3 linked regions of the Oryzias latipes genome follow. The protein of the gene in region 2 interacts with the protein of the main gene of each other region in a biochemical or structural test. Links are inferred from orthologs where the notes say so. Each region holds a gene or a part of one and is shown on either strand. Other genes may lie near its edges. The genes, in order: ube2w, rnf4 and sumo1.

What was found.
Region 1: the proteins of rnf4 (region 2) and ube2w form a complex in vitro, tested with the Homo sapiens proteins (2 studies listed by BioGRID). The link is inferred for Oryzias latipes from reciprocal best matches to the Homo sapiens genes RNF4 and UBE2W.
Region 3: the proteins of rnf4 (region 2) and sumo1 form a complex in vitro, tested with the Homo sapiens proteins (5 studies listed by BioGRID, with this or other methods). The link is inferred for Oryzias latipes from reciprocal best matches to the Homo sapiens genes RNF4 and SUMO1.

The regions. Positions count from the first base shown.
Region 1 is NC_019878.2:16,094,911-16,098,469, reverse strand, and holds the end of ube2w (ubiquitin-conjugating enzyme E2 W), read right to left. Parts: intron 3,130-3,559; coding exon 2,974-3,129; intron 2,888-2,973; coding exon 2,812-2,887; intron 2,728-2,811; coding exon 2,714-2,727; 3' UTR 506-2,713; downstream 1-505. UniProt on the Homo sapiens protein: Accepts ubiquitin from the E1 complex and catalyzes its covalent attachment to other proteins.
Region 2 is NC_019868.2:3,826,075-3,830,201, forward strand, and holds the start of rnf4 (E3 ubiquitin-protein ligase RNF4), read right to left. Parts: upstream 2,943-4,127; 5' UTR 2,739-2,942; intron 2,010-2,738; 5' UTR 1,947-2,009; coding exon 1,935-1,946; intron 1,631-1,934; coding exon 1,465-1,630; intron 1,131-1,464; coding exon 1,048-1,130; intron 952-1,047; coding exon 939-951; intron 868-938; coding exon 753-867; intron 452-752; coding exon 400-451; intron 1-399. UniProt on the Homo sapiens protein: E3 ubiquitin-protein ligase which binds polysumoylated chains covalently attached to proteins and mediates 'Lys-6'-, 'Lys-11'-, 'Lys-48'- and 'Lys-63'-linked polyubiquitination of those substrates and their subsequent targeting to the proteasome for degradation.
Region 3 is NC_019860.2:9,899,636-9,903,480, reverse strand, and holds sumo1 (small ubiquitin-related modifier 1), read left to right. Parts: upstream 1-1,367; 5' UTR 1,368-1,388; coding exon 1,389-1,400; intron 1,401-1,774; coding exon 1,775-1,849; intron 1,850-2,101; coding exon 2,102-2,179; intron 2,180-2,991; coding exon 2,992-3,063; intron 3,064-3,139; coding exon 3,140-3,208; 3' UTR 3,209-3,229; downstream 3,230-3,845. UniProt on the Homo sapiens protein: Ubiquitin-like protein that can be covalently attached to proteins as a monomer or a lysine-linked polymer.

The sequences.
Region 1 (3,559 bases), on a different chromosome or scaffold from region 2:
AAAACAAGTGCAAAGCAACCTGAATCTTTAATTTACACAGATGTGATTCATTGTGCTCACGATTACCATTGAATGTTTTTTTCTCCTAAGAACTATGAATGAAAAAATTAAAATGTGAAACATTTTAATTTGGGGAAAAAAGAACAGCACATCATAAGGACATTTGTATTTGTAAAGCCATTTTATGTTGTAGAAAATATCTCATTTATTAAGGTTCTTTTGGAGTATCACAGGTTAAAACAACTCTAAAACAACCTAAAGGGGGGGGGGGGGGGGGGTGAATGAGGCTGTTGTAAATATTCACTATTGTACAAAGGGATTATGACTGATTGATTGTTGGGAGTTTTGGTTGAAAGCGGCCGAAAGCTGACAGACAACAAAAACAAGGCACTCTGTACTCTGGGAAAATTTTTGATGCATCTTCCAAGAATCACTGTCAAAGGATTTGACCCAATTTTGGAAAAAACAAAAAAAAGAATTACAGAAGACACAAAAGACACTGTCATGTTTTGGTGCAAACCAAATGTTGAATAAAAGTGAATCTTTGCTTTTATTGATTATGAAAATGAACAGGCACCTATTACATGGAGCTTGCACATCCCAAAATAACATTTTAAATATAAATAACTCACCCTCATTAGTGTTTTCACTCATAAGAGTCTGCAAGCTAAGAGTCCAAACCCACATTGAAAACAACAAATTAAATAAAAAAAAGGGGGTAGCATTGTTTTAAAAATAAAAATAAAGAAATCACATCCAAACCCTTGTAACATAATCACTCCCAACAGATGAAGATGTCCTTTGATCTACTGCTTGTTGCACGAATGCTTTCATGACTGCATTTACACATTGGACAACACCCACTGCAGAAAAGCAAAGAAAAAAAAATTCAAGAGTCTTTAAGTTATCTATATAATTTCTAGAACAATGTGTGCTGTTTTAACTGCTTGTACAATAAAGATTATAGTCACATTCACTCTAGTTCAATCAAGGAAGAACACCAGGCGACGGGAGGAAAAAAGTAGGCATAAATACAAAAAAATAGAAGGAAAATTCAAGTATCTCCGACTGGATGGTGATAAACATTTGCTTGAGGAATGGAGTGATTACAGCCTGAATTGACCAAATCCTCTGGTTGGAAGTGTAGTAATACCCCCCCAACGACTCATCTACTTTCTGGAAAGTCTAGTGTCAAAATCAGAATATCAAAACTGCATGCGCCCCTATAGTACAAGTTTATCGCTGACTGTACGCAGCAAAAAATGTAGTGAAAGATGTCGATGTCGACTAATTTTCAGTAAAATAAGCACTCATCTCATCCCTCAGCTAGGAAGTTAATGTACCATCTGCCAAACCTTTTCACATCATCCAATAGTTCTAAAGCATACAAGAGTTTTAGACATGTTATAAGTTTACAGCATAACAGTCTCTTTTGGTGCAAATATAGTTTAATTCAAAATATACGATAGTTTTCTCTCTTTTTTTTGTTGTTTTTTTTTAGAGGTGATCTCTTTATTGAAAAAGTACCTGAGTCACAACTCTGACCAGGAGGGGAAGAAAAAAAAAAAAAAAGAAAAAAAAATCACAAATGCCTTCTCTATACAACTCCAACAAAGCCTCATTTTATCATTCACTGCTGCACTGGAGATCAAATGAGGATTTCAATTAAGTAACAATTAGGAAAGAAATAAAAAAAAAACAAGAACCCTCAATTGTTACTATAATCCCCCATTTAAAGTATCGGCTAAGGGCAAAACAAGAATACAAAAAAAAACATACACTTAAAATCAAATAGTTTAGAGGAAGAAAAAATTAAAGCCTATATTTAAAAAAAGTATTGTACAAATTAAAAAACAAAAAAGAATCCTGCAACAATGTTTCCCTACAGACATTCTTTAAATGGAAGATAAGCTGCTGCACATCTTGAAGGCTGGACTACTGACAACTACCCCGAACCACGAGTGGAGATGTACAGTGAGGTCATTAAATAACTTTAGATCTAATATCACTTTAGTTCCATCTGTAGCAACAACAGCAGGAAGAACTGCCATCAGGTGTCAAGGTGGAAACTGTTTGTACTTTGAAACTAAAAGCCTTAAACCTGATAAATAGGTGGAGGATTTCTTACAGTACATCTGCAAGTTGGGGGGATAAATGTGCACAGGTTCTTTGAAACTAAATCATTTCACAGTGCATAACAATGATAGTGAAAGGAGAAAAAAAACTAAACGGATGATGCATTTTCTTGGGGTTTTGATGGTTAGACTCCTTCAAGATGATGACTGGATTTGGATTTTTGTCTTTGTAGGCCCAAGCATGCATCCATCAGTTATTATTGCACGACACAAAACCCTAAAATGCACCTAAATACAAACGGAAAAAAAAGTAACAATAATCTTAAAACAGGAATTATAATTAGCTCACCACAACTCTTCCTTTCCTGCTCGCTGCACTGTGGCTGTCTCGCCACAAACCATATTGTGTGGGTGCATCCAAATGTTCATTTACTTCCACTTTCTATGTTACAGCAAACTAAAAACATGCAGCCGACTGTCCACGGTGGGGGGTGGGGTGGGGTGGGGGGGATAGGCAGTCCTGCGCTTGGTTTCCAATGTTCCAGTCACAAGTCAGAGTTCAAAGACTGAAGGATTAAAAAGTGCTTCATGTAGGTCAGTAGGGCTGCGTCTTCTACCATTAATAGAAAGTTTGTACATTAGCAAGTATCATCTGTGGAGGGAAAAGTACAAGAAAGCCAGTTTAAAATTGATAAAAAAAAATTTATAATCAAAAAAGTAGTGACAAAGTACTCACCATGATACCACCATTTTGTTTTCTTTGGATTTTTGTTACACGTTCTTACATAAAAAGAGTTATCTGGTGGCCGTCTCTGCCAAAAAAATAAAAATAGATAAATAAAAATGTCCAAGAGGTGAAGAACAGGAAGAACAGGAACTTCTGCGTTCAACTACTTACCTTTTCTTTGCAGCTGGACAACATGCTGATAATGCTAAGACAAACAGATTGCACTGAGAGCGCTGGTGACCAATCTTCTGTCAGAATAGATAAACAGATGTGACCGTTGCTATACACATGCGGATGAACAGGTATATTCTCCCCTGTGAACATCACCTGCGCAGAGGAAAGACAGGTTACAGTACTCAAAGTTATAAGTGACAAACAAAGATGAACGCAGTTTTTCCTAACTTAATACGGAATGAAGGCCTGTTCACGATCAAACAAGTAAAGTAAGGAAAAGTTATTTTTTCTTACTTTAGTTTAAAAAAACTCGATTATTATTACAACTACTTTCTGGAGAAACATTAGGCTATAGGATTAAGTTCAAGAGATCAGCTGTTCATATAAAAGGTCAGTAAAGGAGGCAGAAAGATTATAATGCAGTGAAAATATGGCAAAGAGTTTCCTCATTCCAGCTGCTTCTACTCACTGTTTACATTATGGTTTATGCTGCTAAAAATAAGAGCTTTTCTTTGTTTTGTACGATTGATTCGATATGGGAAGACTGTACTTTTAGCCTTCTTACGTTATTACTGATTTGTAA
Region 2 (4,127 bases):
TGATAAGCTCCATCTTCTGTTCCCATGCAGAACTCTGCTCAGGCTAAAGGACCTCTGGAGGATCTAGAAATGTCTGACACTAAAACAGAAGCAGAACCTTCAGCCATCAGGCTCTGCTCAGCTGGAACTGGTTCTGGACTCGGGAGTCAGAAGGTTCTGAGAAACACTTTTATGAGCCAAGCTGCTGTTCTCACAGCATCAAGAGGAACAAAGTTAGGAAGAGAATAGATTGCTTTCACAGGTGGACAGCTGTCTGCATTTCTGCTGTTTTTCTAAACGTTACCTTTCCATGAGACAAAGGTTCTCTTTAGATGCCGAGTTTTTAGTTCTTTAAACGGGTTCTGGTTCAGACTTCAAAGGCAGGTTCGTTCATGCCTCTCACCCGTGCATTTCTCTTACCTCAGAGTACAGATCCAGACAGACCGGACAGCTGATCAGGCCTGGCGTCGACCTGAAACCCAACAAGAACCCAGTGACTTTTACTTCAAGAACCTGAGGAGCTTTGCTGCTTTCTGTCCTGGTTCTGCAGAACCATGAGCCCTACTCAAACTGATGTGAGTCCGTCTGTGTTCTCCACCCTCCTGTTTTGAGTTCACACTCCGCTCATCCCTTTCTAAATATCACCACAACATTTACTGTGACCTCTATGGATTCGGGGGAGCTTTGGTGTGCACGCTCCCCCGTCGAGCGTGCACACCGGGACGCTCCCAACTCCCCTGAACTAAACGCAGGCGCAGAGTTCGGTTCTTCACCTTGATGCATGTGCGGCCGCCGCGGTGGCGGCGCTGCTGAAAAGGGGCGTGTCCTCATCTTCATCACTGCTCAGGACGTAGCTCTCACCTGCAGGGACTGTGCTGCTCTGAGGATCTAACACAAACAGAAGGTCAGGTGACCCTCAGATGACCTGGTGACACACACTGAGGTCCAGGAGGACTTACCCTCATCCACCAGCTGGAGCGCAGAGACAAGAACAAGAGAAGAACATCAGCTTACAGCCCGTTTCCACAGCCCCCCCCAAAGTGAATGATGAATGACAGAGCGTGTTACCAGCACAGAGTCGTTGTTGTTGGTCAGGTCCACCACAGCAGCTTCTGCTCCCTCACAGGTAAGGTCCACCACCTCCTCCACACCTGCACACACCAGCCGTCGGTTACAAACACCTGAGGACAGCGAGGCCGTCAGAACCTCCAGGCAGCACTACAACCACCTGCTTTGATCCCTGAGGAGAAGCTGCTGCTGTGTTTGGGTCTAGAGGTCAGACTGAATCTTCCTCAAAAGAAAAGCTTCTGCTGGAAGCGTCTCCAGACCATGACACTTCCACTGCCGTGCTACAGGATGAAGACAGAGCCAGCTGAAGCTTACAGCAGACCCGTGCTCTCAGAGCAGAGGTTTAAAATGAGCCTAAACCCCATTTCCAAGTGAATCCTGGGGAAAAAAAAGGCTCCCGGAGGCTGACACACTGACCGTCGTCCGTGTTGTCCATCACGTCGATGGTCTCGGCAGGGGGAGCGGAGTCTGCACCGGTATGAGTCCCCCGGTTGACCGCTCTCCTGGATTGAGCAACTCTGCTGGTCTTGATGCTGGGCCTGGAGACCCGAGGACTTTCGGTGGGCCTTCTCTTCCTCTGGGCCTGAAAACACATGAACACGCAGGGCCTCAACCACCTCAGGTGAGCTCAAAGGCTGACCTGACACCTGGGAGTCAGGTTCACAACAGTCACAGTGAGCATCACTGAAGCAAGGAAAGCTGCTGCCAGTTTTCAGTGTGGTCAGAATGAAGCTCCACCCACTGCTCCACAGAAGCTTTAGGTGGAAACTGCTGACTGCAGCTCAGAGCAGCTTCCACAGAAACTGCTTTTTTCCAGATGATGATGGAGGAAAGCAGACGTTCCTTTATCATTACAGGGCGTGATGAAGAGAGGCATGCAGACGTACAGAGCTACTCATGTCCGTCCAGGAGCTGCGGGCGGCCGGGCCTTCGGAAGCTGCGGGGGGCCGGGCCTTCGGGAGCTGCAGGGACCCAGAGGAAGGGTTAAGGTTAGGATTAAACCCCCAAATGGTTCCTGAGCACTGCTGTTTCTGCAACTCGCCGCTCCTCCAGAGGATGGATCAAAAGAAGGTATCTATTTTTATAAATAGATTACTAAAACTGTCCCATTTCAAACTGTCGCGACTGCTTTTCAAACGTCGGGAGAGTTTCTTCTGTTGTCATCTGTGAGGGACTAGAAATGTTTGGTCAGACAAGGAGGATTAGGGGTGGATTATGTCAGACTTTTGTATGATAGAAAGATATACAAAGAGAATGTCAGGCATGGCCCATTGAAACATTTTGTTAAAATGCATTAATCTCCATTGGTTTAAAACATGTACTCTACAATCACAGAAGAAAGACGTTTGATCTTCCACCGCGCCACGAAAAAAGCTCCATCCAGCACCAGCAGTGTTTCCCTGTCCTCAGCTTCTGTTTTGTGCCTACACGCTTTCCGTAGCAGGTACAATTGGTCATTTGTCCTCAGTTATATGATTTATTCATCTGCTTTTTATATCAAAAAACTATTTCATAACGTCTCATTCGAACAAGCTAACAAGAACACACGTGCAGAGTGATTGGAGCAGTTATTCAACCACCGCTGGCTGCAGTTAGAACTGACGTACAGAGTCACGTGAGGAGCCGGTTTCCAAAGTAAACCATTTCTGTCACAACACCAGCATTTCGGTGATCTCTTTCTCGACTCTTACCGTTTGATGTTGCTGTCGTTTGCTGCTTGGCGCCTTTTCGGCCTCTTATTTTACTCCAAAAGTGTTATCCGAAGAACTGAGTCTGGTAGAGGCTATACACGCTGTCTGGACCGAGTCAGAACCGAACTCAGGACCACTGACACCATCTGGGAGAACAGTGGAGTGTGGGCCTCTATCTACTTCCGGTCTGCGGGCTCTTCTTCTGCAGCTGCGTCTGATCTGAAAGCTGCAGCGCCACCGTGTGGACAGGTCACCTTGTGTTTACCAAAATAAAACACTCAAAGGAAAATGGTGTTTTGAGTTTTTGACATATTTTTGCGGCATTTTTTTTCATCATGGGGCAAATGAACATATATAAAAAAAACTAAGAATAAAAAAGCATTTCTAGGCATTTTTTTTCCAAATCGTGGTGAATCAAGAGCAGATTTTATCCTTAGTTTTAGAAATGTAAATTTAAAAAAAAAAAAAATAATTAAAGATATCTTTTTAATTTAGCATTTACAAAACGTCTTTTACTTTTTTATTTGGCCTTTGAGTATTTTTTGATTTATCACTTATACATTTTTACCCTATTATTCTAGACGGTACCTTCTCAAACCATCAGCCGTACCGGTTTGACCATTTTATAATCATCTTCTGATGTTTTTAGTCTTTGATGTGTCATGATTTTTTTCTTTCATCCTATGATTGTGTCTTTTATGTTTAGTACCTTGGATTCTACCCTTGCTCCTTGATAGTTAGGTGCTCTGTAAATACATTAATGGAAAAATATATTTTTGTTTTGTATTTTGTTTTTAATAGCTTTTCCCCCTCTGTCAGTTTATCATATATAAACTAAACTCTGCTGAGATCCTGTTTCTGTCCTTTCCTGGTTCCTGTCTGAGCTCAGCGTGAACGTTGAAGACGTGTCTCGTTAACATCCTGCTGTGCATGCGTAGAAGGACCAAAAATCATGTCTTAGTCACTGCAAAACACTGAAGAAACTCGCTTCAGCTGTGTTCACACAGCAGGGACCCTAGTGGGCAGAGGACCAGAGTCTGAAAAAAAAGAACTTAGTTACATCAGAACAAAGAGTTTGGTTAGACTGTCTCATCTCTATCTCAGAACCTGCAGCTGCACCAATGTAAACGTCTGTGGAGCCATCAAGGGTCTACAACATGTGTCAAACTCAAGGCCCACCATGTCATTTTCTGTGGCCCGCCAGAGCATAAAAGCTTTTAATTTCTTAAAATAAAAGTTGGTGTGTATTTATTCATATCTAGGGGGAATCTGACTTGAAATATCAGATTGGGGAACTAAACATTAGGACTTAAACACTGTCTATATAACCTAACCTGACAGAATCAATTGTTAAAGGATTTATGCTAGAATAACAAGCAAACATATGTT
Region 3 (3,845 bases), on a different chromosome or scaffold from region 2:
ATAATATAAAAACAAACACGAAAACTATATATACATTTAAAAAACGCCTCTCTCACCCTCCGCGGGTGGTTTCTCCTCCAAGCTCGGGTCCTCTACCAGAGGCCTGGGAGCTTGAGGGTCCTGCAGTATCTTAGCTGTTCCTAGCACTGCGCTTTTCTGGACTGAGAGGTCTGAGGTCTTTCCAGGGATCTGTTGTAGCCACTCCTCCAGCTTGGGGGTTACTGCCCCGAGTGCTCCAATTACCACAGGCACCACTGTCACATTCACTTTCCATGCTTTCTCCAGTTCTTCTCTGAGTCCCTGGTATTTCTCCAGTTTCTCATGTTCCTTCTTCCTGATGTTCCCATCGCTTGGCACTGCCACATCCACCACAACGGCTTTCCTCTGTTCTTTATCCACCACTACAATGTCTGGTTGGTTCGCCATTACCATCCTATCAGTCTGGATCTGGAAGTCCCACAGGATTTTTGCCCTCTCATTCTCTACCACCTTCGGAGGTGTTTCCCATTTTGACCTTGGGGTTTCCAGTCCATATTCTGCACACATGTTCCTGTATATTATTCCAGCTGCTTGATTGTGGTGCTCCATGTATGCTTTCCCTGCCAGCATCTTACACCCTGCAGTTATGTGCTGGATTGTTTCAGGCGCTTATTTGCACAGCCTACACCTTGGGTCTTGTCTGGTGTGGTAGATCTGAGCCTCTATTGCTCTGGTGCTCAGGGCTTGTTCCTGAGCTGCCAGGAGGAGCGCATCAGTGCTGTCCTGTAGGCCAGCCCTCTCTAGCCATTGGTAGGACTTCTTGATATCAGCCACTTCAGTTATGGTCCGGTGGTACGTCCCATGCAGGGGTTTGTCTTCCCATGAGGATCTGTCCTCCAGCACTGTATCCTCTGCTCTCCATTGCCTGAGACATTCACTGAGCACACTGTCGGCTGTCGACTGTTTCATCCTCTCTCTCTCTCTCTCTCTCTCTCTCTCTCTCTCTCTCTCTCTCTCTCTCTCTCTCTCTCTCTCTCTCTCTCTATATATATATAGTTATTTATTAAATTATCATAAAATGCTATTTTTTAAGCCCATGTTAAAAATATATAAATTTAATCTAAACATATATATTGCATTTGAATATTGAACAGGAGTAAAGACTTCATAATACTGGAAAAGGCAAGGTTTTTGTATGAGTGTGTGTGTGTGTGTGCGCGCGCGCGCTTTTCTTATGGAGACAATCCGCTACAAAACAAATTCCTTCACGCGACTTTTATTTTGAACAGCCCTGCGTCACTTCCGTTTGATGTCGCATTCCTCACAACATAAAGCAAGAGCCACCGCTAAAAGCTAACGCTACACCTTGAAGGGATTCCCTCCCCCTCCCGCACACAGTCAGGATAAACATGTCAGACACGGTAAGAAAAAGAACGTTGAAGAGTTCGAATGATTTTCTGTCAACACTTTACTAAGAAATCGATAATGTGTTTGTTATGGACGCTGCCTCGTACGTGATTATCTAACAACATGCTAACCGTTAGCTGTTCTAGCTGCAGGCCTCTGACTGAACTTAGCGATTTTTTTTTACCCTCCACGTGAGCTTTTGTGTAGTTTTTTGAGATTTTTTTTTGGGGGGGGGGTCAGAACTGGTGCTGGCGGGACCGAACCCACACTCGTGTCTATGGTGGATGTTCTCTGTGTTCGTGGAACCCGCGGAGTAAACAGACGGGCCTTCCTCGAAAGCGTGCTAGCGGTCGCATCATGTAGCAATGTTTTGTGATGTTTCTGTCAGGAGACGAAACCTTCCAATCAGGACGGAGGCGACAAGAAAGATGGAGAGTACATCAAACTAAAAGTGATCGGTCAGGTAGGTTGTTTTTGTGTCTCTGCTTTTGTTGTCACTACTGTCTGCATTTAGAAATAAACCGTATTCTACTCCATTTCAAATAAAGTTATGGCACGTGGTGGTGTCTCTATTATTGTTTATAGAAGGCTATTATTTTTGGTCAATGATTCTGCCAATTCTTTATCATTTACAGATGTATTCGTTTTAATGCTGGAAGTTGTTATTGTTTTTGAGCTGCATCACCTTTTTGTGTGTGTCCGTTTCTGCCCACAGGACAGCAGTGAAATCCACTTCAAGGTGAAAATGACCACACATCTAAAGAAGCTGAAAGAGTCTTACAGCCAGAGACAGGTATGAAGAGGAAGACGCATCGCCACTTTTCCAATGACAGCCTTCGCAGATCCATCCAAATGCAGTTCCTTATGGTAGAACACGCCATTATTTAAAAAAAAGATAACTCTGATCATCTTTTGATCTATTGCAAAAAATAAAAAGTTCCTAGTGATTTTTATTTATTTTTTTGACACGCTCTCCCGCTAGCTTACTAAGACTCCCAAGCTAATATTAGCAGTGCAACAAAAATGGCGAGCAATATCGGAGCTATCCAGCTGCACAGTTTGGATCCGGATGCTCGGACGAGGAAAATAAAAAAAAGTTACACGAGTCTATTTGTCTGCAAGGGAGCCTTGTGGCTTGCCGTAGTAGCTTTGGAATCATACCTGCAACCTTTTTCCAACTAAGTTTAATTTTGTCTGCTCCTGATTCACAACGATTTTAAATATAAAAAAAAAATAACCCAATTTTAAATGTAATTTTAAGCTTAATTTTCTTTAACCCTTGTGCTATCCTAGGCCCTTTAACATTAGGAGTTGGGTCATCTAGACCCACTAGACAGTGCGCTTAACCTTTCTTCTTCAATGATTTGTGATCTTCACTGGTGTCCATGGATTACATGAAATCTTTCCACTTTTGTCATGGTAGGGAGAACACGTCAATGTAAGGGTGGGGTCATCTAAGATAGCATAAGGGTTACACCTAAAAGCTCGTCTATGTAATCGTTACTCGTGCTCCTAGCGCCTCGCGGCGGCGTTCAAGGAGAGCTGATTGAAGGAAAAATAAAAATCTCCTAATGGTCTAACAGCAGAGGATGACGTTTCTTTCAGGGAGTCCTGGCGAGCACGCTACGGTTTCTTTTTGAGGGACAGAGAATCGCAGATAACCAAACCCCAAAAGAGGTAAGCGACACTCGCAAGAGCGAAAACCAAGCACTAGTGGTCACTAAGGTTTGTGTTTTCTTCTGTTTTTTTATAGCTGGGCATGGAGGATGAGGACGTCATCGAAGTTTATCAAGAACAGACCGGCGGACTTTGGAATCATTAAAGCCACAATTTCTGATGTTTTTTTTTCTTCTTTTTTTTCCCCTTTTATTCATGTTTTTTATCATTTGGTTTTGTATGTATGTATGTATTTCTGTTAAGTTTCAAACCATCTGAATCAAAAAAGCAAAAGGACTCAATCAGGGCTTCCATGTGTGCGGTCGGGGAGGCGGACAGACCGAGGACTCGAACCTGTGGCTCTGCCGTCGGAGGACACTCTAAGATTTTTACCGGCAACCATTTCGCTTTCGTGTTTTAAATTTTTATTTTATCAACCTTGCTGGAATGATGTGCTTTTGCAGGAAAATGGTTTTTAGGAGCTTCTTCCTCCCCAAAATGTTTTTTAAAATTGTCTCATAGAGGAAATATGTCAGATGGCATTCTGGGTAAGTGCGGTTACAGAAACCGTAAAAAGAAACCGATCAGAAGCATACCAGAGCGGCATGCTTCTGATCTTTCCATCTATTCAAAACAAAAAAAGTTGTTTTCCTGGAACGGACCAAAGCGTCTGTCCAAATGAAGGGGGGCGGGGCTAAACGAGGGAGCAGGTCCATTTCCTGTTGATCTATTCCACTCTCAGATGAGGTTGGGTCCTTCTTTTCTCCGGGTCGCCAAGTCGAGTGTTGGATCAATAAAGCAGA